Coturnix japonica: one gene and its partners. The protein of the gene in region 1 interacts with the protein of each later gene in a biochemical or structural test. Links are inferred from orthologs where the notes say so. Each region holds a gene or a part of one and is shown on either strand. Other genes may lie near its edges.

Evidence for each region.
Region 2: of the proteins of PTPN6 (region 1) and ROS1, one has a biochemical effect on the other in vitro, tested with the Homo sapiens proteins (2 studies listed by BioGRID and IntAct). The link is inferred for Coturnix japonica from reciprocal best matches to the Homo sapiens genes PTPN6 and ROS1.
Region 3: the proteins of PTPN6 (region 1) and PECAM1 form a complex in vitro, tested with the Homo sapiens proteins (2 studies listed by BioGRID, with this or other methods). The link is inferred for Coturnix japonica from reciprocal best matches to the Homo sapiens genes PTPN6 and PECAM1.
Region 4: the proteins of PTPN6 (region 1) and LCP2 form a complex in vitro, tested with the Homo sapiens proteins (2 studies listed by BioGRID). The link is inferred for Coturnix japonica from reciprocal best matches to the Homo sapiens genes PTPN6 and LCP2.
Region 5: the proteins of PTPN6 (region 1) and ERBB4 form a complex in vitro, tested with the Homo sapiens proteins (2 studies listed by BioGRID, with this or other methods). The link is inferred for Coturnix japonica from reciprocal best matches to the Homo sapiens genes PTPN6 and ERBB4.
Region 6: of the proteins of PTPN6 (region 1) and SYK, one has a biochemical effect on the other in vitro, tested with the Homo sapiens proteins (2 studies listed by BioGRID). The link is inferred for Coturnix japonica from reciprocal best matches to the Homo sapiens genes PTPN6 and SYK.
Region 7: the proteins of PTPN6 (region 1) and PDGFRB form a complex in vitro, tested with the Homo sapiens proteins (2 studies listed by BioGRID and IntAct, with this or other methods). The link is inferred for Coturnix japonica from reciprocal best matches to the Homo sapiens genes PTPN6 and PDGFRB.

What each region holds. Positions count from the first base shown.
Region 1 is NC_029516.1:69,598,393-69,602,648, reverse strand, and holds the start of PTPN6 (tyrosine-protein phosphatase non-receptor type 6), read right to left. Parts: upstream 2,922-4,256; 5' UTR 2,259-2,921; intron 2,137-2,258; 5' UTR 2,053-2,136; coding exon 2,039-2,052; intron 1-2,038. Other genes in the region: C1H12orf57 (protein C10), read right to left, coding at 3,220-3,368, 3,459-3,635, 3,719-3,773. UniProt on the Homo sapiens protein: Tyrosine phosphatase enzyme that plays important roles in controlling immune signaling pathways and fundamental physiological processes such as hematopoiesis.
Region 2 is NC_029518.1:57,715,306-57,719,666, forward strand, and holds the start of ROS1 (proto-oncogene tyrosine-protein kinase ROS), read left to right. Parts: upstream 1-1,399; 5' UTR 1,400-1,588; coding exon 1,589-1,702; intron 1,703-3,483; coding exon 3,484-3,537; intron 3,538-4,361. UniProt on the Homo sapiens protein: Receptor tyrosine kinase (RTK) that plays a role in epithelial cell differentiation and regionalization of the proximal epididymal epithelium. NELL2 is an endogenous ligand for ROS1.
Region 3 is NC_029533.1:7,271,843-7,276,176, forward strand, and holds the start of PECAM1 (platelet endothelial cell adhesion molecule), read left to right. Parts: upstream 1-1,233; 5' UTR 1,234-1,517; coding exon 1,518-1,551; intron 1,552-1,705; coding exon 1,706-1,732; intron 1,733-2,581; coding exon 2,582-2,875; intron 2,876-3,319; coding exon 3,320-3,619; intron 3,620-3,704; coding exon 3,705-3,974; intron 3,975-4,334. UniProt on the Homo sapiens protein: Cell adhesion molecule which is required for leukocyte transendothelial migration (TEM) under most inflammatory conditions.
Region 4 is NC_029528.1:13,164,883-13,168,709, forward strand, and holds part of LCP2 (lymphocyte cytosolic protein 2), read right to left. Parts: intron 3,335-3,827; coding exon 3,269-3,334; intron 2,570-3,268; coding exon 2,538-2,569; intron 1,969-2,537; coding exon 1,934-1,968; intron 1,160-1,933; coding exon 952-1,159; intron 435-951; coding exon 334-434; intron 1-333. UniProt on the Homo sapiens protein: Adapter protein primarily involved in signaling pathways within T-cells, as well as other immune cells such as platelets, mast cells, and natural killer (NK) cells.
Region 5 is NC_029522.1:7,052,748-7,056,574, forward strand, and holds part of ERBB4 (receptor tyrosine-protein kinase erbB-4), read right to left. Parts: intron 2,872-3,827; coding exon 2,725-2,871; intron 240-2,724; coding exon 142-239; intron 1-141. UniProt on the Homo sapiens protein: Tyrosine-protein kinase that plays an essential role as cell surface receptor for neuregulins and EGF family members and regulates development of the heart, the central nervous system and the mammary gland, gene transcription, cell proliferation, differentiation, migration and apoptosis.
Region 6 is NC_029547.1:39,246,733-39,251,231, reverse strand, and holds the start of SYK (tyrosine-protein kinase SYK), read right to left. Parts: upstream 3,047-4,499; 5' UTR 2,753-3,046; intron 2,710-2,752; exon of another isoform or gene 1,666-2,709; intron 1-1,665. UniProt on the Homo sapiens protein: Non-receptor tyrosine kinase which mediates signal transduction downstream of a variety of transmembrane receptors including classical immunoreceptors like the B-cell receptor (BCR).
Region 7 is NC_029528.1:4,811,951-4,815,777, forward strand, and holds part of PDGFRB (platelet-derived growth factor receptor beta), read right to left. Parts: coding exon 3,618-3,827; intron 3,509-3,617; coding exon 3,239-3,508; intron 2,956-3,238; coding exon 2,828-2,955; intron 2,519-2,827; coding exon 2,344-2,518; intron 1,812-2,343; coding exon 1,619-1,811; intron 1,397-1,618; coding exon 1,281-1,396; intron 766-1,280; coding exon 639-765; intron 476-638; coding exon 264-475; intron 1-263. UniProt on the Homo sapiens protein: Tyrosine-protein kinase that acts as a cell-surface receptor for homodimeric PDGFB and PDGFD and for heterodimers formed by PDGFA and PDGFB, and plays an essential role in the regulation of embryonic development, cell proliferation, survival, differentiation, chemotaxis and migration.

The DNA of each region.
Region 1 (4,256 bases):
CTAGCTGTATAGAAGACATTTTGTCCAGATACAGGATAATGTGAGAAACAGTATGAAAAGGCATCCCTCTGTCCCTCCAGAAATACAGGTGGGTTCTGCCCCTTTATGACTTGATGACATTAGGGTACACTGTGCACTGGTGTCCACTAGAGCCTTACACTCCCGTGGTACTAATGTGCCAGGCCGTCAAGTCCACATAGTCCAATAAAATGGATTGTCCCTTTCCTCCAGCTGGCTGGAGGCTGAAATCTTTTTGCATATCTTGCAGCTCACCCAAGGTTAGGGGTCAGATGTTACGCCTCCTTTATGAGTTCTCTCCCGCTGCTCCTCTCATTCTTGTTATGGCTCTGCTTCATCTGCTTCATCTTCACCTCCTTCTGTCTAAGCAGGAGTTTCTCTCCTTGCTAAATAAGCTGGCTGTTTTCTGCAGCCATTTTAAACTCTTGTGTATAGGGATAATTGATGTTGGCACTGGTTGGTTCTGTGAATGAGCTACAGGGCTTGTCACAGGGATTGGAGTGACCACAGGGCCTTTCGTAAGAGTCTGGGGCAACCACAGGGCCCATCAGAAGGGTTAGAGCAACCGCAGGGTCCGTCACAAAGACTGGAGCAATTCTAGGGCCTGTCACAGTGCTTGGAGTAACATCAGGAGTTGGAGCAGTCACAGGGTCTGTCACAGGAGTTGGAGGAGTTGCAGGGACCATTCATTGCACTGTCATCAGATTCGGAGGTATTTTCTCACCCTCAAGTGTGCTGAATAGTACTGACAAAGGCTCAGTAGGCTTTGGCCAGGCCTCAGCACACTGCAGTGACTTGTGTCTCTCTAGAATCCCAACAACCACCAGGATGTGCTGTTGTTCAGGATTCCACAGCTGTTCAGAGGTGAAGTTCCAAGACACCATGGGCCCCTATTGCCCTAGATATCCATACCACCCCACACTCCTTGTCATTCATACATATCCCACCTCAGAACGGAGCTCTTGGTGATATTCTTAAACAGTTAACAGTACTTAAAAGGCACTGAACTGCTGTTAAAAAGGACACTGAGAAACTGGGCCATCAGGACAATGAGGAGCTTGGGTTCACCACAGAAAATGAGAGCTAGGTTTGTTCAGTCTGGAGAAAAGACACTTGCTAAGGAATTTAACAGCAGTCTGAGACTATCTAAAATGGGGACTGGGGGGTTTAGAGATGATGGGAGTCACAACAGAGAGGACTAGAACAAGATCATCTTTAAGATCCCTTCCAACCCAAACCATTCTATGATCCTAAGAACATCATTTTACATATGCCTATATTGAATTTCAGCTCCTGATCAACTGCCTGTTATTCCACTATCATAAAGTCCTCCTGCAATCGTTGAGTCAGCTTCCATCCTATTATCCTGAATAACTTTCTAAAACCAGTTAATTGCCATTTCTAATTCTCAGCACTGCGACAGGCAGTCTTACGGTTCTGCCCAGAAGTACATAGCAGTGAAGGCCATCTGGTCCTAGGGAATGGGCATATGGACCATCACCCTATAACCTGCCAAAGTAGATGCTCTCTAAGGTTGTGTGACCATCTGACCAGGAGGTTCTATTCAGGCTAGTGCAAATTGCATTTCTTTACTCCATACCATTGCAGTCCTCAAAACAGAACACCCATTTATACTGATGGTAAAGACTGCAACAGAACATCCATTTATACTGATGGTAAAGACCGCATGCCCTGCTCTTCCATAAAGGAGAAATAAAACTGTAGCAATCGAAAATAGCTCAGATTCAAAAGGCCAACCCTCTGTCCAAAAACATTTTGAAATGCTGCATCTCCACAGCTTGCAGGATAATGGCAGTGGGTTGGGCATCACAAACTACTCGCTCATTATCCAAGCAAGGAGGAGCAATGGTAACAGCAATAACACCAAAGCTCTAGTCCTCCAGCACCTTGCTTAAGGCATATCTTTCCCATGTGTGCCCAATTCCTACTGCCAGTGTCTTTGTTACACACACACACAAAACTCTGTTTTCTTGCCTTATCTAACACACAGAGCACTCACCCACAGGATGGCATCGGGATCTTGACACGCAGATCCCCACTGCTGGGGTATGAACAGCAGCTGTTGGAGGAAGTACAACACCCCTAAACCAGGGGGTCCTACGGGAGGAAATAAAGCAAGGTTGGAAGCAGCAGGGGTGGACTTGAGCTCCGCTGCCATGGCTGGGTGATCATGGCAGGAAGGAGTGGCTGTTGGGTCTGTCGTGTGTCCCGTGACTCACCCGTGTCTGATCCACGCAGGCAGGATCCTGACTGAGCTCTGTTTGTTTCTGGGCAGAGTAAAGGTGGTAGCTCCAGGCTAGGCAAAAAGCAGGCCCCAGGCAGAGGGCTTGGTTTGCACCATTTGCAAAACACTTCCTGGGTTGTAGTTAATAAATAAGTAAAGGGGTGGGGAAAGGCCAGGCTGGCAGAGGTAGGTAGAAACGGAAGGGATGGACTGCTCTTCCTATTTCCTATCCACTCTGCTCACACCCTCACCGGCTACATTCCTACCTGGTTTGTAACCAAGGTGCAGAAGGCAAAACCCAACACAGCCCTCACAGCTCTAGCTTGTTCTCTCAGCCCGTGGTGGCTGGGAGCCCTTCTTGGCTCTCAATCCTTCCCAAAGATCCCAGTACCTCCATGGGCGACAGGCACACATACCAGAAGGCTAAAATGAGACATTTGTGAATTATTCCCAGTCCTTGCTACACCATGTTGCCACTCTTATAACAATGTCCGACAAGTCTGACCACACATTTAGACAGGAAACCAGAATACAGGCACAGAAGCTCATTGTAGGAGCATATGGGGAAGTGTATGAATTAGCAGCGCTGCCTTAGCTGCATTTAAACACTGGACAACATCTCAGGGACAGTGTTGTTTTGGGGAACATGTTGCCTGATACGTTTCAAACAACACATCTGTAAATACTTGTTCTTGCAAAGACATCTGCCCTGCATCAGGAAGGACCTATACCTGCATAGCAGCACCAGCTTACGTCCATTCATAATTCAACGAGGGCACTTTCAAGACGTCTTTTATTCACAGGCAAAAACAGAAACATGCACAAAGGGGCCAGTTCATCTCACGCCGTTATTTTCCTCGTTTAACTGCTCCGTTTCCCGTGGCCGGCTGAGCAGCAGCACAAACAGCCCCAGCCATAGGGGAAGGCTCAGGACGGAGCCCCGGGGATCACCGGCATCACGAGGCGGCCACCCCGCCGATAGCAGCCCCGTGCGGCGGCAGCGTCATGGGGGGCAGGAACAGAGCCTTCAGCTTGCCCGACATGCTGGCGATCTCCGGGTCCTGCGACTCGTAGGATTTGATCAGCCGGGCGAACTTCAGCACCCCTACGAAGGGAGGGAGGAGGTAGGGAGGGAGGGAATGAAGCCGGAGCCGGGCGGAACGAGCCCTGCCCCGATTCCGCCGGGCCCGCCCACCTTCGCCGTCGCTGCTGAAGCCGTAGGCCTTGATCACGTCCTGCTGGATCTGCGTGGCCACGGGCAGCAGGAACTGCAGCATCTTGCCCATGTCGTTACACGCGTTCTCCCGGGCCTCGTCCATGCGCTGCACGTTCTCAGGCGCCCCGAAGGCCTTGATCACCTCGGCCAGCACCACTGCGGTCACACACATCATCACAACAAGCACAACGGCAGCCAGCACCCACACACAACCCCAGCCCACACACAGCCCCGCTCACCCTTGGCCTGCTCGGCGCTAAGGGCCGGCGGTGCGGCCTGTGCGGAGGCCGCCATGAGGCCTAACGCTGCCCCTCACCACAAGGCACCTCCCACACACCAAGCGCCTCCCTATCATTGCACTGCACTGTGGGGCTTCCCGCGGGGCGGGAAACCTGCTGGACAAATACTAAAAGAGCTGAAATCACTGCCTCAATCCTCTTAGCGCGGGGGGGCACAAGGCACAGAGCTGCCCCTAGGTAAGGGTGAGTGGGCCCCGAGCGCCAGGCCGCCATCCGAGCGGGTCAAGGCTGCTCCACACACATCGCAGCCGCTCCGCGCTACGGGCCGCCGTAGTAACACACTGCAGCCCGGCCGTGCCGCTCTTGGCTTTATGCAGATCAGCGGCTTCTTATTGGTGCGGCTGAGCGCAAGTCCCGCCCACCGCGGGTTTGAGTGACAGGCTGAGTGACGGATAGACGTGGCCGCCGAGCAAGAAATGAACACAACGCAGTCTGCTTCTTGGAAGGGTTTTTTGTTTGCTCGTTCGCTTTTCTTTTG
Region 2 (4,361 bases), on another chromosome or scaffold:
TGGGGAAGACATCACAGCCTACACCTGCCTGTTGCCAGCTCCCTCTTCAGACTTACGGTTTTTGCAAGCACTGACAAAGCTTCTTCAACCAGGCTGAGCTGGATTAGCAAAGAGCCACTCTTTAAGCAATCAGACTGACCTTGTTTATTTTGGCTGGAGCTAAGGAGTTTCTTCTTGAGCAGCTTTGCTGGTGGGTTAGAGAAGGGCAGCAGCTGTCTGGAGTGGAGAGGTGGCAAAATGTTGAGGGAGTGGCTCCCTTCCCTCCACCGGTATAGCTGGAAGCCTAAAGTCTTACTGTTCACAAGCAGTTCCCTTGGGCAGTAGTGAGAAAGCCCCTCAGGGCTTTCCAGGGAAAATGGAAGAAAAGGAAGGATCCTGTTCTACAAAGTCTTTTCTTCTGCAGGCCGTGTGCTTGGCAATATCCTCTGATCCCTCCAGCTTGGATTATCCCTTACTCCTGCCTCAGTGCTGTTGGCTCCTTTCATCCACCACACTTGAGTGCAGCAGCACACAGAACTGTGCTGTGACCTGCATCAGAGACAATAACTTTGGGTTAATGCTGACCAGTTTGTTTCTTTTTTTGCTGGGTTAGCGTTAACCAGATTCTCAACCTAGGTCATTGCATGAATACATGATCATTTTCTTGGCAAATGAGTTGGGTGTGGGAAGTTGGAGAGTATGATGAGAAAGGAAGTTGGAGAGAGGTGGAAAGGTTTGAGTATGAGGGGATAATCACGTCAGTGGGATGTGACAGTTCAAACTGGTCTTTAAAATGCTACATTACTTTTGTGCTTGCATATACACGCACACAAAACCACACAAAACACATGTACAGAAATAACACAGTATCTATTTATACATACAAATACATAGGCTGGATTGATTTCTTATTCCAGTTCACAGTTACTTTGTGGATAGCTCTGCTAGCACAGTAGAGGTGCGCACAGGCTGGAAGATGCAAGTATCTCAAGCCTGAATTCCCACTGACTTCTTTAATGCTGGTGTCTAACTTGATATAGGGCACTTTACCTCTCTCTAAATCAGATATATGATTTATCTATTCACTTCTATTTTCCTCCATAATATGGGCATAAATATATTGAATAGAATTAATTAATGTTTTTATACTGACTGATATGACCTGTAGTGTCCTAACAAAGTTACTCATGAACATGAACAAATGCACTTAGCTGTAGGGATCTGAAAATACATAGTAGTAGTAGAAGTTAAGATTTCTCCATCTTTCCATTTCCGTGTTGTTTGCAGCACCTGACTGAAAGCATTGTGCTTAGTTTCCTCTTGACGTTAATGATATTTGTGTAAGGAGATACGCTGACTTTCATTGGTCACCCCTTTTGTTTCAGCGGTTTAATAAGAAACTGTGAAATAGATGTTGTGCAATTTCAAGGCAACTGCTCCAGGAAGCAGAAAGGTCGTACAAGGAATGGATTGTAAACAAAGAATTAAAGATATTTAATAAATTATAAAGTAGAAATTTCACAGTGGTGTCTCTGCCACCTGGACTTGAAAGAATTTGTATGGCCAAGACAAGGAAGGAATCAGGCTGCCAGATGAAACTGCTCACGTTATGAGGAACGCTTGCCTGCTGCTGAATAGATTTTGTACTTTTTACTTCATTTGGATTTCTGCTGCATATTGTTCTTTCTTAAAAAACTGTCCAGAACTATGTACGAGTAACCTGGTAAGTTCTGAAAAACTCTACTTAATCTTTTGAAACGCATCTGGTTTTTAGCACTGTAAGAATTTTCAGTTACCTATTAAGTTTTTAATTTTTAATAGTATATTTGAGTAAAAGCAGAGTATGAGAACTAATATTTTACAACTGAACTTGTAAAACCTGGTAAAGAAAATATCCCATTAGCCAGATTGCATGAGTTTTCATTTTATGCTTTTGTTTCAGCAGATCCCAAGATTACTATAAATTCCAAAGACCCTGAAGTGTGGAGGAGAGAAACATTTTTTGTTCAGTTTATTCACTTTACTTAATGGTTTCTGTCTAGTCTGTGATTTTTCTTATGTAACACTAGAAAAACTGTAAACACCCAGTTGCTTCCACAGTTATCCTGAATTTGTTTCATTTTCCTTTTTGAACCTCTTAAATAATAGGTAAATTTTTAAGAAGTTAAGCAAGTGGCTAGGTCCTCTCAGTATTCCTTTGAGTCGAGGGGAATTTAGTACTTTTCCTTCTACTGATGCGCAACAAAGATAAGCAGAAGCTCACAAATCCAAACAATAATTCTACCTCAGGCTCTCAGGAGTCACCTACTTGTTTCTATTTGCTTGAAACACTGATGTGCTTAGAAGACCATGTACCTTTGCTGTATAAAAAGTACATTTTGTGCCTCTGGGCTAATTGGCTGTGTAAACCTACTGCAGGAGGCTATTACCTGCTCCATTTTGTTTCATACATTTGCCTGATGGTTCCTTTAGAATTACTTCTTAACTCTAGCACCAATGAAAGAGTTAATTATTTTCCCTGATGGGAACCTAGCATGCAATGATAACTTTAATGGAGATCCTTTGATTTAAGCTTAAATTAGCTCAGAATAAGAAATGAGTTGCTCTTCCTATCAGCTTTGAAAGACAGGAAAATCGCATTCATGCTCGTGTTCGGTGAATATATTGTGTTAGGGATTCAGATGAGTCTGCCAGCTGTAGATCTTACTTTTCTTCTTTGGTCTACTTGTTGTGTTCACATTTACGTTGTGACAGCTTTGCGTGGGTCTGGGGTTCTACTTACTGTCACGTTACCTGTGTTCCAGTGTGCTGAGAATCTCTACCTGAGGGTTGTTTTGTTAAGAATGATCTTACTTGCTCACAGGACCAAATCTAAGATCTAGCATTCAGCTTTTCAAAGGCTCTTAGATATACTCCCACATCATTTGTACTTCACAACAGGTGACTGGTTTTGCACACTTGGAGTGACATGGAAATATAGGCTTTGGCTTTTCTGGCCAAAGAAGAAGGCTAGTAACCATTTGGCTGCACAAAGACTGTCAAAAAGAGGCCAGACAGAAGCCAATTAGCTTGAATGAAGGTCTTTCTGCTCTCCAGAGGTCAAAGACACTTGCCTTTGTCATTTATGCCCTATTTACTTATGAAGCAGTTGTTACTGACTCAGTGAACCAGAATGAGGGGGTGAGGGCCAAATTCATACCTGAGATAATAAATTTGTGCTATTTGATTCTGCCAAATCTTCTTTTTTTCAGTGCCCTGAAATTGGTCTCAAATGGGAAGCTACCTGTGTGTCAGCAATGCACCTATTCATATGACTAAATCATGAGTCAAAGAAATTTTGTTTTACAAGAAACCAGTGTTTTATTTTAATAAAATAATTGGGGGGGGGGGGGGGGGGGGGGGGGGGGGGGGGGGGGGGGGGGAGGGCAGGGAGAGGGGTAGGAAGAGAGGGGGTGGAAACACATCTTGACTCTGTAAAAATGTATGTATTTTTTCCTCTTGTAGGAAGGAGAACTTGGAATTGCTAACCTTTGTAATGTTAGTGACATCAATGTGGCAGTGAGTAATGGTTTGCTTTATTAATTACTGACAGTTTGCATTACTGCTATTTGAATAACATGGGTACAATGACCATATTGTCAAAGACCAGATGTAAATAATATATGTACCTACAGGGGCAATTATCATTCTTTTTGCTTAAAGAAAACTTGATGTGTAGAGTCTGACTCAGTGGGTTTAGATTTTGTCTACAAAATTCATAATCACACTGATTCATAACCAGTCATTCTTTAGAAAATGGGGGAAAAACAGTGTTATCCCTAGAATATAAATCATTACAAACTTTAGCTTTGTACAGTTCAGTTTTGCTTATTTTGCTTTCTCAGTGGTTTAATGGGAGAAAACCTAAAACAATCGATTGAGATTTAGAGTTAGGTATGAGTTCAAAGGTTTGTACTGATATCAGGAGACTCTTTAGCTTAACATGTACCTTCTGTAGCAGAATTCTTGTAAGCCAGCATTCTTCTACTTCCAACTTCAAACACAAGTCAAGCTGGTAGTTATATATATATATTCTTAGAAGAACTATGGACAATTCAGTCATCAATATTTTCTGCAGAGACTAGTGAGAAGGTGCCTCTCAGCACCTGGTATCTAGCAAGGCTGGATCTTTTATGATACTGGAACCATAAAAGGCTGTGTTGTCATGACAGTACATAGCACAGTTGACTATTTGCTCGTTGTTATCAAGTCTTGCTTTTTTTTTTTTTCATGAGGCTTTGTAGTACATGATGTCAGAGGCTCCTGCTTCTAAAGTCATCCCCTTTCCTCTTCCCTTTAAAAAGAAAAATGCACACAGCTATTAAGAGGTGGATGGGACAGAT
Region 3 (4,334 bases), on another chromosome or scaffold:
CCAGTCTTTGTTGGCCATATATTTCAAACAGTCCAGAGTAAGCAGAACAAATACTATTGCTGGTTATCCAGCTTACTTCCTAGTCATTAACTGCTATGAATGCTGTGCACTCTGCATTCCCTTCCCCCTTGCAAAATAGCCCTGTAATAGCCATGTACTGGCTGATGAATAACTGAAAGGTTCTGAACAATGAATTTCTTTAAAGTTATAAAGTAAATATTATTTGGAAAAATTAAATTGTTGCTTAAATCTGCCATTTCTGCAGTGTCAGATTATTTAAGATTAAATGTACATTCACGGTGCCAAAGTAAGGACAGGACGGCATCTCTGCACATTTCTTGCTGTCCTTGTTCCACCCAGTTCTCTCACCCCCTCACCATCTGAACATCAAGAAACTGGCCATGGTTGTGATTTTTTGGATAATGATTACATTTCAGGTTTCTTCACAAATAAGTCTTCCACGGCGCAACTTGGCCTACTGATGTACTTGTCTTCAGGCTTTTTACTTTCCTTAGGCTTTCCTCTGTAATCAGGAAAAGACCCTTCCGTTTTGTTAAAGGAAGTTCAGTAATTCAGGTGTTCTGAATTGTACCTCATTTTATTTTGCTGTATCTCAGGCAGACACCGACAGAAATTGAGAGCCAAATGCTGAAGTGGGGTGTTTTCCTGAGGTCACGGTTCAATTTCTGCTTTTTTATTTAATTCTTTTTTTTCTTGCCAGTGCTGCTTCACATCTCTGCAGGGAAATGAAAGTTCAGCCTGTTCATTTATTCCGGGGTTAAACATTTCTAACTGTGTGTTTTGCCCAGTCCCAGCTACACAAAATAACAACTTGTGTGTGTTTGTGTTTTTGATGTGTGATGGTTGTAGAAGAGGTTTGTCTGTCAGTATTCTAATCTAATCCTAGAGAAGCTGTGGATTGTGAACTGATTTGAATTTACTGCCAACTCCACATTAAAACTGTGCCACAGCAAAGGTGACGGACATAGGTGTGGAGTGATAGGAGAAAAATGAATAACCCTGTACGTTTAGTCTCAGGGTAAAGAGAAACGTTTGCTAAACATCTGCTAAAGTCAAATAGTGAATATAATTTGTATTTTTAAATGGTTAATCGTGAGTTAAAAATATCCATATATGGACAGGAACTGCAGGATAAATGTCCCTGGAACTTCTTGTTTTTTTTGTTTTTTTTTTTTGTTAATACACCTTAAGAAATTAAACAAAGCGAATGCATTTGGTAGCGCCCTCAGGAAAAGTCCAGTCACTTCCTGAGCAGTAATCTGCCTGTGAGCAGCAGATAGATTCTCATTGTTTGCCATTTCCAGTAATGGGAACGATCACTTGACCTGGCCAGTTTCTGCTGAAGATTTGCAAAACCTTACAATTTTTAATGGAAAATTTTGATCTATTACCATAAAGCAAAATAAAGCAAATCTGATTTGGGAATCTGGTGGCGTCACCTCGGATGATGAATATTGCTTTATTTTGGAAATAAGTGTCTGTTCTCCAGGAACGAGATGTATCTTGCTCTTCTGGTGATTTTCTTGCAGTGTAAGTTTGATAACGTTTGTTTGTGGACATGTACCTGTTCTTCTGACTTGTCTGTGGCTTTGTTGTTGTGCTGGTGGTGTTATTTGTTATAGTTGTCTGTTGCTGTTGCTCTATCCATAAACTAAATAGAATATTTCTTTTTACTTCTTTCCAGGTTCAGAAATTTGCGCTCAGGAAAGAGGTAGGTAAATATAGTTTTCTCATGTACATATTTAAATGAGGTAATTTAACTAATTTATTGGTTATACATGTGCACACATGAGAGTTTGTTTGGTTTGCTGCACTACAGCTCTACAAAAGCAAATTAGCTATTGTGGATTTGGGTGGGGGGGTGGGGGGTGGAGGGGTTGTTGCTGTTGTCACTTTATTTTGTTGTTTGTAGTCAAAATATTGTATTCAGTATATTTTTTTCACAAACTGACAAGTTTAAATTCTAAATTAAATGGAGGCATTACTTCTGCCTGTGATTGTATTGAGATTACTTAATGAGTGTGATGTTAAGGACAGCCCACAGCGTCAAGATGGGCACATACGTGTTTGCTTGCATGCCCTGAAGCCAGATATATTCTACTATACTCCAGTTTTCCTAAACTAGGGGTTTAGGATTATCCCGAGTCAATGAAGTATGTGTTTAAATGGAAGCTGTTGAACAGCACAACCTTAATTTCAGAAAAAATACTGGAATAGATCCAGGGGCTCCAGTTATATGCTTAGGGATGGATTGACTTTGGATTTCATACGACTCTAAACAGGCTTACATTGTATTATTTCATTTACTCAAACAAGGATAGATGCACAATTTTGTTCAGATCTCCTAGCAATTGTAATTGGAGACAACAAGCCATCAGAAATAAGGAAAGCCAAGAAATTGCTGCAAGCCTATCCCAATACCCTCAGTGTCTCTTAAGGAATTTAGCAGTTCTGGCCAAATTGGATTAATTTTACTGGTTAAAATGTAGTAGCTTGAGGTGACAGTGCTATGTTGGATGATTTGAAAATAACTGTAACTCTTTTTATTTTCTCCATCAAGTTTTTACCTTCAATGCAGTTCATATCAAGGTTCAGCCATCTGCCAAAGTGAAGAATGGAGCTCCTATGTCAGTTATATGCCGTGCTGATATTAGCAAAAGTACCAATTTCAACTTGCAGCATAATATTACAATTTTTAAGGATGGCAAACTTGTGTTCATGAGTGTATCAGGAAAAGGAGATGCACGATATGAAGTACCCATGGCCAGATCTTCACATACAGGAGACTACCAATGTGCTGTGGAAGCAGATGGAAAGATAAGATACAGTGATTCCCTACATGTTTGGGTAACAGGTGAATATTCCTTCAAACATGGCAGTTTTCTAAGGTACAAAATGATAACAACCTCTGAGAGTAAATAGTTATAGTGCTAAATAGGATATCTTGCAAAGTACTTTTAATCTGTAGCTGTCATGGTGCTTTACAAGAGTTTCATGCTCAGTCTTCATGTAAAGGCACAGAAATGAAATGATAATATTGTGATAACCATCACCAAATCTGGAGTCACATGGGGGCTATTTTTTGGACAATGTTACATCCATCTTGTTTCTTTATCTTCTATGCAAACAGGCGCCACCAATGTTCACAGGAGTGCAGCATAAAAAAAATCCCAAACCTAGTTCTTTCCAACAATTTTTTTCTTCCTGCTGCCATAAATTGCTACCACAGTCATCAAAGACAAGAGTTTGATTTAGGATGATGCATTGATCTGTTTCTTGCTTTGTTTTCTGCTCGAAGGAATGACCAAACCAATTTTGATCGCTGAGAAAAAAGAAGTTTTTGAGGGCGAAGTCGTGAAATTACGGTGTGAGCTGCCAGAAGAAGTGCCTCCATTACATTTCATTTTCCGGAAGATAAAGATGAATTCAACACCTAAAGAAAAACTGAAATATGAACTACAGAGGAATTTTTCTGTTATAGAATTTCCCGTTGATGAAGGGGATAATATTTTACAATTTGACTGTTTGGGTAGGAGGAGTGTAAAGTTTGAATTTGAAACCTCAGAACCCAGCAACAGAACACTTATAACAGTCAAGGGTAAGCTTCTTAGTTTTTTAAATACTTTTGCTTGCCACAATTAATAAGTTGGATTGTGATTTTATGTATATATATTCTCTTGCAGAACCGTTTATAAAGCCAACTCTGCGCATCAAGCCCTCAAGTAACATTACAGAAGGAAAAGAAATACAATTTGAATGCTCTACTGTAGTAGCCAAAATGCGTGACATTGAAATCATACTTCTGAGGAATAAAACAATACTGAGCAGTGTACGAGATCAGACAACTTTGAAATATTCTACAGTGGCTACTCTAGAGGACAGCGGTGAATACCTCTGTAAGGTGGAAGAAGGGAAAGCATCTAAAACCACCACACGGAATGTTGTTGTGGCAGGTAACTCCTCTGTTCATCTTAGATGTTGCTCAGTGGAACAATATTTAATTTTGGTAGACTTGCAAAGGTAATGTCCAGATTCAAAAGAGAATTTTCCCTAATTGAAAGGCTGTTTACATTTGGGCTACCGATTTTTACCTGTTGCTAATAATTTCAATTAACACAAAGGAGATGTGGGTTCCAGGTTATTGCTGCCTTTCTGTTTTCCTTGAAAAATACTTTTGTATTACAATAGCATGATGTTTTGTCTTGTTGTTTGTTTTCATGATTGTAAACTTCCACTTCATCCTTCTTTCTGTGCACTTCGGGATATGTGATCACATTCTTTTATGCTGTATTCGAATGAACTGATTCTCTTTT
Region 4 (3,827 bases), on another chromosome or scaffold:
ATATTTTATAGGGATGTTCTGAAGGACTGTTCTTATTGTGAGAGCTGGGTCAACAAATAGTGCAGCAATCTAGGACACAACTAATGAGAACTTATAAGAAACAAAGACTGTGAAAGAGTTTAATATCTGACCCATCAAATTGTATTGTTCCATGGAAAAAAACCCACACTCTATAAGAGTTCAACTATTTTGACACCTTAAAAACTTTCTTATTCCTCTACACATAATAATTGAATAACAATTTATTTATTACACTTGGATTCCTCCTAGGTACTGTCAAAGTAAATAGGTGAAGTATTTCATTTGCTCTGAAATATCAAGAGAGAAACATACAGAAGCACCTCTTCCCCCAAATGAGGCTGGTGATGGGCTTGGGCCAGGCCGCTGGGGTGGTAGTGGAGGCTGATGTGATGATCTGGCTGTTGGAGGCCTGTCTAAAGAAAAGAAAAATCCCAAGCTCAACAACTATGAAAACGGTTTTGTTATTTTATTCTCATTAGATCTTTATGAAGAGATGTTGCATACTTGATCTGATGTATCATACAGATATTATGTTAGTGTTTAATGGGCTGTTGCTTTATGATAGTGTATGATTTAGTGTTCCTTTGGGAGCTAGATGCTCATCTGTCCCCTTGATGGTGGGACTGTACCTGCCTGGTAACTCATTCTGATCAAGGAACAACTGCTAAAGCTAAAATAGTATGTAAATTTTTCTTAAACTTTATGCAGGCTCCAAACCAAGAGCCAGATTGTGCACACATCACATGAAACTTATCTTTAATCCAACAGAGCTTGTCTGAAGTAGAAGATTTAGCTTTAAAAGGTATAAAGATATGAACTTGCAGCATCTGTGCTGCTTTGAGATAAAGCCTTCTATATCCCGTTAGCAGCCACGTAAATGTAAATGATAATGTGAAAACATTACTTTTTTTATTTTTTTCTAGTAATTACCTATATAGTCTGTGCTGTTCGCAAGTGACTTGGCAGGAAATATGACATTGTGGTGTGCTTCATCATTACTGGATGGAGGTGGCTCATAGCCATCACTGTCATGTTCTGCTTCCTCAGTTTCTTCCGTTGGTGATTCATAGTCAGCCTCGTCTTCCTTTTCCTGGTCATCATCAGGGCTTTCATAGTCGTCATCTTCATCCTGATCATCCTGACCAACATATATAAAAGATGAGTGCTATAACAGGTTACTTTTTTGCAGTATTCTACAGACTGAATTCGGACTTTAGAAACAATTCTGAAAAAAAAAATAAAAGAGGTTTGTGATACAGGTCTGGATACTCTGACCAGAACAAAACCAGACATATACCACTAGTATCTTATTGGGCCCTAACAAGATTGCAGTGTAAGCATGGTAGCGGTCATTGCACACATCTTCTGTGCTGTCTGCCTTGACTTACAGAAGAAGTATTCTTAGACATTGGGGTTGTTTGCTTCGTCTAATGAAGTTTACCAGTGCATTTAGTATGCTGAAAGACAGAAAGCATCCTTTGCAGTCTGTCTGGCTTTGAGAAATTGATTGGATTTTTCAAAAAGTAAACTTTATAGAGAACAAAATAGCAGGATTTTGCCCTTGAATAACACAGTAACCTTCCATTTTCTAACGATTGCTTTCAAGAGCTTGAAATAGGAATATAAACTTTAGCTAGTCATAATTTGTGAGCTTGTACTTGAATCAGTGGTACAAATCTGCTGTTGCAAAGCACTGCCTCGTATTACTGGGCAAAAGCCCATTCCTCAGTGAAATTTGCATGCAGCTACTCCAATCATTCAGGCTTCTCTTTTTCCTTAGCCTAACACCCCGTGCTACTGACTGATCCATCCATACTGTCTAAAGTAGGTAATGCAAGAAATAATAGAGATTACAGAAAAGTTGAGTCAGTCTACTGTTGGACCAGTATGTTATGTTAGTCCTCATACTTACAAATGAAGACCAGCCATCATCTTCTTGACCGTATCCTGCATAAAGAAGTTTAAGCACAGTAAAATTTGAAAATGTCAAGACATTATTTGAAATAAAAGGACAAAAAACCATCCCAAATTCATTCTGAACCACAATGCCACAGTTCCTACTATAGCAGCAACAATGTAGGCCTGTCAAAGGCAGGCAGACTGGCATCCGCAAGTAGCTCATGCAAGGTTCTACAAATAACATTATTGTTTGAAACTAAGAGTAAAACTTTCCTTATGTGAGATTATACAGTGTCTCATCTAGTTTGTCCTGTTCTTCATGCTTTAAAAATCATTTGAAGTAGAATGCTCTCAGAATAAGCACAGCCTTTGTATCTCTTAAAAATTGCTATGGCAATTAAATCTAAAGTCATTTTAATGTCAGTAGACCTGGGGGAGCATTCTCTCATTAGTACAATTGTTGCTGAAGTGTGCAACTTTTTGCTATTTCTTCAATTTTTCTTTTATGCTTTTTTTTGCTTTGCCTTGTCTCGCTTATCGTACTCTACAAAGAAGAACCTACTGGTTTAATGTTTTTACACACTATTTGTGCTTAGAGACTGTCAGTACGCACTTACCTGAGTTTTCAGGACACTTTTGTGTTTGGCCCCTGTAACAAAGATATAAACAAATAAATTCCTTCCAATTGCAATTTTTAAACGTTTTATGTGCACTAAAATGTAATGCACTAAACCTAGTACACTGAATTGCTAACAAAGCTAACGTTTAGATTGTAAAGTAAAATGAAATTTGTTTTAATTAGTTCAACTTCACACAAAATACCATAAACACACTACTTTATATTTCACATACAGTCACCAAATGTCAGCTCAACTGTCCTGAATACAAGGCCAAGTCAGTGAGGTGGTGTGTATGAAACTAAGTGAAACTCAGTGAGTAAATCTATCGGGAACATCAGTCCTTGGAATAGAACTTAACATATAATATATTTGTCAGTAAATTGTGATGCATTTTGAAGTGTAATGATGTACAGGTCTGTAAATTCCATTAATTTTGACTCATTAATATAATGTGTCCATATTTTATAGCATTCTGAAAGAGTAATTTACTCAGTTAGAAAATTGCATGAAATTTGTATCTTTATTGGTTTCAGACATGACAGAGGGATCCAGGTTGTTCATGAGCTCAAACACTCCTATTTTTAACAGACAGCATTAACAACACAGTTTTATTTTATATACTTCGCAGGTGATCCCTCTGACACACAGGTGTTGTGGATCAAACCAATAACAGTCCAGGAAAGATTTGACTGATAACTTTTGAAAAGAAATCAGAGTTTTTCACTTACCATTTTGAGAAGAAAGAGATCCTTCCTTCATTTCGGTTTATATCTTGACTTAGTTTACTCAGAATGCTGTTTAAAAGAACCACAGAAGTAGTTTTAAAAATACTCCTTGAAACCTGGCAGTCACTTTCTTAGCTGCTTTCCTCCCATTTTACCACCATTAAATGAAATGTTATGATTTGGATTTATCGTTTACTATGTGGTAAGAATACTTAATTTCTCTTCTTACTGCAAAGCTACACTGTAGCATAAAGAAAAAGGAATGGCTTGTAACTATGCAGCTGGATGTTGGACTTCTTCACATGGAGAAGAACCTGTATTTTTGGATCAAATTTCAATATCAATGTTAAGCTCAGCAAGCCTTAGAAATTTGGGGTGTGGTAGACGTCAGGCACTAGAGCAGTGCTTTAAATAATCATCTTACATTTGTATTACTTTGCATGAGAAAAGCGGATGCTATTTCAGGAGTCAGCCTCTTTTAAGCCTATGGTCACAGAGTTGAAATTAAGTGCATCTTGTGGCAACTTTTCTTTTTGTCCCCCTTCCTCCACAGTCACTATAT
Region 5 (3,827 bases), on another chromosome or scaffold:
GTTCGTCAACAGCGCACACTATCAGTCAGTCACTACATTTGTTTCAACTTCAAGAGCACCCTGAAATTAAGAGGTTCAAACACCTTAATAGTCAGGCAGAATTCTTCCCTCCTTCCCACTTCACATTGCAGAGTTGCTCACCTGAATTACCAGGTACCTCTGGGGGTCTCGAGCCATTCTAGAAAATTCAGCAGCCAGCTCCTTGAATTTAGGCCGACTGTCTGCATCAATCATCCAGCCTGGGGACAGAGCAAAAACAAGAACATAAGTGGCTGCTGACAAAGCAGGAATTTTTAAAAACTGAACAACTTAGAAGAGAAACGATGTACTTGGCCTAGAGAAAAAACACGATAAGGAGCCCAGGAAGAAGGGAAAGGTGGAACTCTAAAAGGAGAATACGTTTAACTGGCCAGAGGAGACCAAATGTTCTACACTGCAAAGATTTCTCACTTTGCTCTGCCAATTTCTGGATTTGCCTTACCCATTTAGTTGTCAACTCTGACTGTTTTTTTATTACGAATCTGTCCAACTTCTAATTAATCCTGGATCTCACCTCAGCCTAGTGGGTTTATTACAAAGTTACTACTAAGCACATTTTTTTTCTCTAACAGAACTACTGTTCCACAGTAGCTTACGTTACAAATTGCTGCCCAACAGGATGACTGACCTCCCATCCCACCTTTCAGGAGTAATTTTTGCATTCGTGTATCTGCATCATTAACACAGACCCCACATGAGGCATCGGATGCCATTTTAATTGTTCAAGGGCAACTCTTTGGGCCTTCATTCTCCCAGAAACGTTCATTAGAAACAATTCTCAATCCTTTCCAGTGCTTTCTGTAAAAACAAGCAAGTGGCACAGGCAGTCACCACCAGCAACTAGTTTATCTCAGTGTCAGCTTTTTCTAATGGAAGATTCTATCAGCAGCTTCCCAAGAGCTTGTTCTCATTTGCCAGGGAGGCAGAACGAAGCAGCACTTATCTCCTTCATAGCCTTTAATGGAAGAAGTGACCAAAGCAAAAAATAAAAATAAAAAAATCCAACAAAGCTAATACAACTTACAAAGAACTCCACTCAAGCATTACAGGACTAAATCCATACATCTAGATGTGACTTTCCAGAACAGTCAGACTCCTAGGATTGCTTCCTCTCACTGAGAATTGCCTTGCAGCACTCATAGAAATACTATCAACTTGAGTATTTTTGCATGTGACTGATCTAAACCCCTCGTACCGTTCAGGTGATATTCCCACCTGCATGCATTTATGTTAAAAGGTCTGTGATAGTTCGAGCAGCTTTCACCTCTATTTCCTAAATCTACCTGAACTTATGAAGACTCCTAATGGTTGTACATGTGCTTCTGCAATATTTATTCATAAATAATAGAAAACTACTAGTGAGTTAGGATCCTCCCTGAAGTCACCAAGCTTGATTTAAATATCTAGCTTCTTTATTAAGACTCACAGAACTGCCTTCAGTGTAGGAACAGAGTATAAAGGAGAACTCATCTATTAACCACTACCAACAACTCTTCTCTAGGTAGCGCATGAGACAATCAAATGTCAGCTGTTCTCATATCAGTATGTAGCAGTAATGCAAAGCTGATGTTAAAAAGCAAATCCTTCTCTATATCCCTACCACAGCTATCTGGCTGTAGTTCTCAATAGGATGGATCTTTATTGTCTTAAATGTCAACATGCATCAAAAAACAAACCAACTTGTACTCTAGATGCGGTCAAATTTTCCACCATAGATAATCAGCAAAGGGCTCAGTACTTCAACAAATGGCTGGGGAAGGAGAAGATGGAATTCTGTACGTTCCAAATGCAAAACCCTGGATTGCACAGTATGTCTGCACTGTGAGCTTCATGAACTGCTGGCTGCTGTCAAGTCTAACTGTACTCAGAAGAGGAGTATTTACCTCTGCTGGTGTTACCTTCTTTCTTTCAGTGTTTTTGTGTACAAGGCAAAAGGGGAAGGTTCATAGAAGACAGATGAGCTGGCTACATGTTAATCTCACTTAAATTAAGTCAGAAACACCAGAGAGATGTCCTTAATTCTTTTTAAATTGGAAACACAGCCTTGGAGAATACAGTCACTAGTGTTGGTATCTTGGAGATAAAAAGGGTAGGAAGAAACCAAGCGCAAGCTGTTTTCCTTTTCTGCCCAATTACAGATATCCATAAATTATTATACTGGACTAAGAATGATAAACCTCCTTTCAGTGTAATTTCTTACATTAATTCTAATTTTTATTATTACTACTGCAATCACCAATCCTTTTACTAACAATAAAACATTCTTGCTTTCTTTCCTCAGTATCTGGAACCAGCATTTTTCCTTGCAAACTTCACTAGCTGAGTATCCATGTACCATAATTATGTTTAATACTATCTTTTCTAACATCAAAATCAATTGTCATGGAAATGACAAGGGTTTACAATAACAATGATACAATTTTGACTTCACAGAAAGAATATGAGATACCATCTGACAGTAATAAGAAGCTAACTCAACTCCTTCAGGGCTAAATCCGTATCTTGCAATTGCAAAAAAAATGCACATACAGTATTTTAAATGGAATTTACAGTATCTCGGGAAGCTTTTGTTTTGAAACTGCCTGCTCTATTACCAGGCATTGTCAGAGACTACGCATGCAAATATTCTAAAAAAGGATTCCTCTCACACTGAACGCAGAGACTGGAAAAGCTCCAACTACTTACATTTCACCATCACCATATAAACATCAATAGTGCAGATTGGAGGCTGGGGCAACCGCTCTCCCTTCTCCAGCAGGTCTGGGATCTCTCGAGTTGGGATCCCATCATATGGCTTTCCACCAAAGGTCATAAGTTCCCAGATAGTGACCCCTAGACAGAGAAAAAGAGACTTAATATTTGAGGTTGAGGTACTCAGATTGCTTCCCAGTTTCCTACAGCTCAGTACTGCGGCCTGGTTCTAGATTGGAGTCTCTTCTTCATTACCAGGGCCTGTAAAATTGTGCCCGGTCTGCCATTTAACGAGCTACAGCAAACGGAGGAACAGCACTTTGTGTTAATTGACAAGAGCGCCTTCCCTCGTTTTTATTGGCATAAGAAGGAGCATGATAGATTGGAGGCACAAGACAAAGGTCTAAGACGGATAGGTAGTGGGAAGGCAAATGGATGCAAAAATGAAAGAATGTGTCTTGCACTCTTATCAAATCAAAAGGGAAAATGAATAGCTGATGCTCTGTTATTTTAAGGGGAAAAACACAGATGTTCCCTAACTTAGAACATCAATTTCACACAGAAGTACAGCACTGAATAGCACTGTGTCACTGTCTTTGCCTCCTTACTCATTCACAGCCACCTGTATTATTATTTTTTCTTAAATCACCCTATGGATTTGAGTTGCAATAGCGCTGTGCTTAAGTAACCAAGATCCTCTCTCTTTGAATAGCCATAGGATTTGTTTTGGTATCGGAGCTGGAAATAAAAGTCATATATCATAAGTAACAATTTGTCAGCAAACAAAAACTTCAATACTGAAAACGCTGCTCCCACATCAGTTTCTTTTGTTGCTGTTTTAGTTTCCTAATTTCTACTGCAAAGGTCATTTAAAACACACCTCCAGATCTGTAACCATATTTCCACAGCTGTCATACTAACCTGAAAAGAAATGGGCAAAAATACCTTACCTATAAAGGCATGTATTCAGTTTACCTTCAGTCGCCTCTTGGCTGATATTCAATATATATATTCAATAACTATAACTTGCCAACTGGTTTTGCTTTTGTTCTTTCTGATGATAGATACCATGGGCTTCCTGCATTTAAAATGAACTT
Region 6 (4,499 bases), on another chromosome or scaffold:
AAAGCTTTTAGCACTTCTGAGTTTACCTCTACTGAGAATCAGCTCTAAAAGATTCCTAGCATCATCTCCTTGCATTTTGGAAGGTAGGTAGAAAAGTTGCTGGACATATTCAGGACACTTAGCACTCCATACTTCTTTTGAGGAACAATGTTCCAGAGCAAACTGGGACAAAGCAAGAGGAAAGGCAGGGTAGTCCTCTCTGTTCAAATTAATACATACCACCATCAGCTAGTTACAAACCAAGTGATAGTGAAACCACACAAAATAATACTCTATTACATTTCTGCATTCTGGCTATTTAAGAATATTTCCTACATTTGAAGTTGTTCTGTTACCTGGTACAGAGAGGTGGCAGATACCTACGAGAACTTATAAGATGAAAACTGAAGCTCAATTGGTCTCAAAATATTTTTCCCTTTCTTTCCTTTCAACAAACTCATTTAAAGCAGTGGTCACTTAGTCATTGTGCACACAGAGACAGGAAATTCTGAACTAATTTTGGTTTTGGAATGTAAAGATAAAGCAACACAAAACTGTTTCCCTACAATAAAATGGTATTTTCTCCAAATTAGAAGTTAAGATGATCCTGCAAATGCTTGCAGTGTGATAAGTTTTCACTCTTATGACTGAACTACATTTCTCATGTTCACAAGATTATCTTGAGCTTTTAAAGAGAACACTGTGCTCAGACTGAAGTCGTGCACAGTCTTAGTGGCACAAGTATGTTCACCCCGATGCAGAAGATCACACAAGTACACCTCATCTTTAAATGCAAAATAAACAATTTTAAATAGCTGACTGGAATGATCTTTCTGTAATTGTTACTCACATGCAAAGATACACACTGAATTCCTTATAATTACAATACAAAATCATACATGTTCCCCTTTTCGGCCATTTTATCCTGGAGCTAAACATGTAACTGGTGTGCACAAAACAGGTATTGAACCACTGATCGAAGAGTCCATAAAGCTGAAAAATGGACATCACCATCTAGTACCTTTCTGCCATAAATACAGACACAAACACAATTGCTGACAGTCACAGTATTCTCACTAGGAATGTCAGCCAATTTACTGTGGGCTTTGTAGGGTTTTTTTGTTTGTTTGGTTGGTTTTTAGGGTTTTTTTTTTTTGTTTTTTTTTTTTTTGTTTTTTGTTTTTTGCTAAATATTGAGTAATGAAAAAGCATAAAGAAAGTAAAATGAATCAAAACTGATTATAAAAAAACAAACTTTGATTGCAATCCCATGAACTCTGAACACAACATATATTTCAGTAGTGACTTCTGCTCCTCATGTCTCTGTCATAACATACACACACACCCACACACAAAGATAAAAGTGTATGGTAACATGTCTATGTTATATTTTTTGTTATTAGGGTGCTTAAATCCAGCTTCTGGTTTTACCATCAGTGCTCTAAAATGCAGTTTAGTTTCCAGCGTAACCTGCTAGCTCCTACTAAAATTGAACTTCTGGTTTTGTCTTCCTGCAACTTCAGATCTAATTCTGCTCTTCTTTCAAAATGGACAAGTAGCACTGTTCACTGCTGATCTTATGGACTTAATACTTTCTAAAGGCAGAAAACCAAGAACACTTCAACAGTTTATCATGGGGTTTTGCAGTTATTTCATGTACATTTGAAATCTGAAGCAATTACTTACATTTTGGGGCACATTCGGTGATTCCAAACCTTTTAGTTCAAAGTCTTTGCCAAACTATAACATTTCTCCCCCACAGGAAAACTGTCAGAAATAAAGAGCATTCAAACTTCCTTATTTGTCTCTATCACTGAATGTTCAACAGAGGGATGAAAAAACAACACAGTTCCTCTAACTGGGCTGCCTCAACGTGTTCTGCTCTGCTTCAGCTCATGGCCTCTGAGCCTGTAGTAGCACCGAGCTTAAAAGACTGATAGTCACTTGAACCAGACAGCTGTGCCTGTGGATTAAGCTGCAGATTCAGCCCAAAGAATTGAGAATTCTAAATGTCTTTGGATAAAAAGAATATAAAAGAAGCCCAACTGAAAAGAACATCAAAAGAAGTTACAAGGAGTTCATTCCCTTAGATGGAATTGTTTTGTTTTGAAATGGAATTACTCTGTAATATTCCATGCATTCTGGCCAAATTGTGTCTCAATCACCTCTGGTGGGGTCGGCGTCACCCAACAAAAGCAGCATCCATCTCTTCCCAGGGTGGCATTACTACACCCACACCCAATGAACTCCAGCACAAACTGCACATAGTACAGAGCTACAGAAGAAAATACTGCCCAATACTGAAATGATCAGCAGCAAGTCAACCATTGCACCCTTAGTACCAACATTCAGCACTTCTAGCAATGCTCTGTGATTATTCTGACAGAAACAAAATCCAGATTTTTTATAAGAAAGAAGCTCTTTTTAAAGCCATTTTCCCAGGTGCCAAATCTTTTATATACTATGCACCATTCAGAAGCTGAACAGTTACTTTAGTGTAAATTTTACGCTGTTAAAAACTACTCCGCAACACATTCAAAACATGACTAAATCTATATATTTTCTGTATTTAAGTTCCATATTCTAGTTCCTCAAATGCCAGGCTACCGATGTTACTACAGAAGGACGGAACGTTCCAGCTTGCCTCAGCAGATTGGCACATTTACTCGCCGCTCTCCGGGTAAACCCCGGAGAAAAAAGGCGGCTGGCAGACCCCGGCCCACCCCGCTCGTTGTTGCCAGCATCCCCCCGGCCCGGCGTGGCCTCCACTCACCGCTACGGCGGCTCCTCCGCTCGCCGCCTACTGCCGCCCACCGGCTCCTCCTGGGAGCGAGCCGAGCGGCGCGGCTCAGCCGAGAGCTGTGCCCGAGTTATGCGTTGCGAGAGCCGCCGCTTCCTCGTTTTCTCTCTCAGCCGAGGCCACTTCCTCAACGAACTGTCGGCCCCCTGCTCCCTCCCTCGGGCGATTCCGGCCCCCGGCCTGTCAGAACGTTTGTCCATGAGGGTGTGCGGTGTGCGACCCGCGGCGCCCCGACGTGCGTGTTGTGGTGCCCGATGGTGTGAGGTGAACGTGGGAAAGCAGAGGGACGCAAGAGTGGTCGTCTCTTGGGAGAAAATGAATAGACCCGCTGATTGTCAGCATTGAAATGTAATGTATTTTGGTACTTTTGTGTTTTGGTGAGAAAATTGCTTCTGGAGGAGCAAAAACGGTTTGTATTTGAAACAACATAGGATCTTTGTGCTGCATATGGTATTTACTCATTTTGTAGCCGCTGCTAGTATGGAAGAGACAACACCTGGTGTGGAAGAGAGCTGAAGAGGACCCCGTCCCTAAGGCTCCATGTACGAGGGAGTCAATTCCACTACAGATGTCTGCACATGCAACAGACGGCAACAAGCTTCTCCAGGATGCGCTGCCACTGGCATTGAATGGCACCTCAGGTGCACCTGCAGCCATGCTTCTCCTTCAGGCATGGCCACTGCATGGTGGTGTTGTGTGCCATGATGAGCAGCACTAACGTGAGGCGAGGTCTGTTTCCTGCTCCCTTGTATTAAGTGATTGCTGCAGTGAGTGGGCCTGCTTATTGTATAAGAAAGAGGTGCTGCAAGGAAGCACTGGCTCTCCTTCCACATCCATTATACTAAACAGAGCTGCCAAAGGGCAAAAGCCTCATGTTTCATACCGGTTGAAAAGGGCCTTTCTTTTGGTCTGATTGCCAAAGTGCAGATACATTTCTGAATTGGCACTACCTGTGTGTTAAGAAAACTTGATTCTTGGAGGGCCTTTGATGGCATAAGTCTTTCCTAACACCATCCAAAGGCACAGTCTACAGGAAATGGCTTTTGGAAAGTCATTACTGTGCTATGAACAAGATTTTAAGCAGAAGTTTCTTCTTAAATTGGTGAAAAAAAAAAAAAATGTTTCATGACTTTTAATTATATGTGAGCAAGAGTACTTGACCTGGTAAGGGTAGAGTTAACTTTCCGCAGCAGCTGATATGGTGCCTATCTGGGATTTTGAGTAATAGCGTATGAGTAATGCATTTTCTTTGCTGCTGGGCACTGCTGCTCAGTGGTGAGGTTTCCTGTGTTTTGCACTCTGCCCCAGTCCTCGCCAAGTAAGCAAGTAATGGACAAGATGGAAGGGGACACTGATGGAACCAGCTCTGTACCACAGCAAGAATCAGCGTGGGGATAGATGGAAAAGGGCAGGGGCTAGTGCTGTTTTCCTGCTCACAGACCAGCTGAGTATCACTCATCTTATGGAGGTGAGCAGATGGTTGAGAGAACTGGAAGGTGCAAAGCAAGAAAACGTGCATTGAGATAGGAACAAGTGAGGGAAGGGGGAAGATCGTATCAATGTAGCCACTCACCTCATGGAGGAGATGATAGGATCTTCCCCCTTCTCATGTTCCTATCTTAATGCATATTTTCTTGCTTTGCCCCTTCCAGCTCCCTCCACCATCTCCTGTGCAGGGGAAAATTATCAAGTGGCTGTGTGGGTGCTTGTCTGCTAGTCA
Region 7 (3,827 bases), on another chromosome or scaffold:
AAGTCCCTGGAGGGATAGCCCTGCTCGGGAGTGGGAGCAAAATGGCCATGGCCAGTGGGCACGAAGGCTACAGATTGCTCTCAGAGCAGCCTTTCCCACTCAACACAAAGGAGGCTTCCTTTCGGGCAGAAATATCCAGGCTCTCTGCCTGAGGACTGCAGCTATCAGAGGACACTGCTGGCTCCCAGCACCTCCAGGCTGGAGGCACAGAGAGGAAAGTCCATCTCCCCACCTCCGACTTGAACACCTCCTGCAGTGCTCACCATTTGGAACCAAAGTGATGTCTTGGAAAGTGGTGCCCAGGGAGTTTTGCACGGTGCACCTCAGGAGCAGGGGTTCATCCACCCTGTGCAGCTGCAGGGTGCTGTTCACACGGAACACCTGCAGCTCTGCATGGTACGTGGCGTTGGTGTGCAGGCCAATCTCCGCAGAGTTGTTCCCCAGCAGCTGGGTGGGCTGCCCCTGGTTGCCACACCTGGACCAGAGGAGGATAAAGGCACCTAAGGTGCAGCCAGACCCACGTAGCACCATGGGATTTCCAACTGCGTGGGCCAGCAGAACACAGTAAAATAAAGTGTCTATTGTTTCTAAAAATGCATGAGCCCTGTCATTCCTATGGGCTCCATCTCTCTGCTCACCATTTGATGTTGCTGCACGTGGACCAACTGATCTCTGGCTGGGGCATCCCTTCAGCAGAGCATGTTACAGTCTGCTCCCCACTGCTGGCACTGCTGTTTTCCTTGAGATTCACCACTTTGGCTGGCACTGAAACCAAGACACATTGGTGGGAATTAATCCTCAGTGTTGAATGCAGATGGGGAAGGAAGGAAGTTCTCCTAGATCCTCACTGTGACACAGGGTTGATGTGACAGTGAAGTAAGACTTAGAGGAAACGTGCCTTATTTTTGAAACTAAAAGCAAAACCAGAAAGGGCTGAGGTGATCATGGAAGACCACAGATGACCCTATCTATTCTGCTTGTATAGCAGAGGAACTACATAAGGACACCTCTGCATCTGCAGATGCATCTGCATCCTTGGGCCAACACTTGAAGGCTGGTATCTGCCCTGCCTCCTTGTTTCCCTGGCTATAAGACCAGGTGTGAGATATTTCAGGCAATCTTTGTCCTCACTTTAATGCTCTTCTTTTGGCCAAAACCCCCCCTGATCTGTAGTCATAGGTGTAAAGGCTTCAGGCTGAGAATCCTGGAGCAAAGGATGGAGCCACCCCCTGGGACTACCCCCACAATCCTTGGCCCCGTGTCTGCATGCACATCCTCACCATTTATCTGCAGATGGAAGGACAGCTCTTGTGCATCGTCCTCATTTGAAGCTCGGATGGTGTAATATCCTCCTTCCTCCTGCTTCACACGCACCAGAACCAGAGATGTCTGGTACCTGGAGAAGACACAGCCATAGAGTGCATGCAGGAAGGTACCATGTAGCTGACACTGCTTGGAAGGGACCAGCTCCCACACAACTGAGGAATGCACAGAATCCACTCACAGGAAGGTCAGCATTCAGCCACCATCCCGTGTCCAACCACCATCCTGTGCCCAACCACTTTGTGTTGTGAATTATTCCCTCCCTGTCCTCTGGTTAGGAGTGATGTGCCCTCACCTGGTTTCTGACAGGTTCCTGTTGGTGATGGTGAACTCGCTGCTGCTCTCCATGGTCAACGTCTTGTTGTTCTTCAGCCACACAATGTTTGGCTGTGGGTAGGCCTCCACATCCACCTGGATGATGTGGCTCTTGTGGACCTCAGCATACACCGTGCTGGCCAGGTGGGTGTGGAAGTGCACAAAGCCACGCTCTGAGAAGAGGCAAGAAGGATACAGGCTTCAGGGAGAGACACAGTCACCTCTCCATCCCTATGAGCTACCATGGGTCTGGGATCAAACACCCTGAAGTGATGGAGCAGCTCCAGGTTCATCCCTTTAGGTCTCAGGTCCATGCCCAAGGGGAGCATGGGGGCGTGCTCAGAGGCCAGATAACATGCAGGGAATGGGCTGTCACCTTTCAGAGATGGGCAGCTTCCCGCAAAGGAGCACAGGTGTAGGTGGGAGGTTGACTTAAGAACACATTGGCACTGCACAGTGCAAAAGAGCTCTCACACAAACCCTCAAATATATTAGAGTCCCAAAATCTCAGATGGGGGAGTTTGGATGTGTCAAAGCCAAGAAGTCGGCAGGGATGCTATGGGGTGAGGGCTGACTTTTTGCCATGGTTAATGAGGGTGGGGTGAGAAGGGGAGGGAGCTGAAGGCTGTGCAGAGAGAGGAGTTTGCCATTCTGGAGCAACACCCATGTGGGTTGCTGCCTTTGAGAGCACGGTCAGTGACGCACCGATCACTTGGACCGTGATGTCTTTCCGGTCTGTTTTCTCATGGTAGCCCTCAGAGACATTGCAGACGTAGGTCCCACTGTCCTCCAGCTCTGCGTTCTGGATGACGAGGATGGAACGGATGTCATGGCTGGATCCTGGCAGGAAGTCGGTCACTGGCTCCACAGCCTTCCCTGCCTGCACAATGGGGACAAGAGATACTGTGTGTGAAGTCAAGAGCATTTCATGCCAATGGAGGACAGAGCCAGGCTCACGGGGAGGGAGGAGAAGTGGGCAGACCTTGGTCTGTCTACAATGGGGACAAGGAACATGCATCAAAAGCCCCTGAGACAGCCAGCCTTCACACAAGAATCTCCCCACTGAGCCTTCTTGAATGGCAGCAACATCTTACATCTGCCATGACATGAAGCTTCCTGAACATTGCTATGATACTGACGAGTGACTGCCATGGGACACATGGGCAAAGGCTGGGGTTGGTGCACTCACCTGCTTGCGGGGATAATCCCAGTTGAAGTTGACCAGCTCATTGCCGCTGACAGTGCACATCAGGGTGACATTTTCTCCCTGACGCACTATGGTCTGCACTGCACTGATGGAGACGTTCACGGATGAGACTGTTAGAAGTGTCAAAGGAAGGGATGATTAATAAAGGAAGAGATGAGCAGACACCCAGTCCATTTATCTTAGGTGGACTTATTCACTTGAAATCTCTTCTATGAGGTATAGATCTGCCACTTTGGCAGGACCTGTTCTTTAACAGAGACAGGGTTAAATCCAGCCCTTAAATTGATCAGGGATATCACAGGGACAGGAGGAAAGCTTTTCTATCCCATCCCTATTGTTTTGAAAGAATGGCCACAACAGCTACAGAAATAAGCCAAGATGAGGGCAGCTCACCCTGGATCCTGTAGACATAGAAGGTGTCTGAATCCACCTCTTGGTCATCCACGATTGCTTGGCAATAGTAGGTCTTGTCCTCAAAGAAGCCTTTGAAGCCCTGTTGTGGGTCATAAACAGCTGGAATGGGATTCTCCACTTTCTTTTCATAAAGGGTCACCTGCAGCTCTGGGTTGGTCACGCGGCATGGGATGGTGGCCTCTGTGTAGCCCGTGATGAAGATGAAGAACTCTTCGGAAGTGATTGCAGGGAGAAAAACTAAGGAGGGATCTATAAGAGAGAGGGGTACACTCATTACACCACGACCTCTCCCACTGCTTGCTCCAGCGTGCCACACGTGGGCCTTTCCACATAGAGACAAGGATGTGCTGTCCCTTACCTGGAACATAGATGTAGAGAGCTTTCCTCTCTGCTCGCTCTGGAGCCTGGTCGGGGCTGTAGAGACACGCATACTCCCCTGTGTGACGGCCTGTCACGTTCCTGAGGGTGAGGTTGCTGACGAAGACCCCGTCCCTGTGCTCCAGCACAGCAGCGAGAGGCTGACCATCCCTCTCCCAGACCAGTGCGCTGTCCCCATAGCACATGAGGG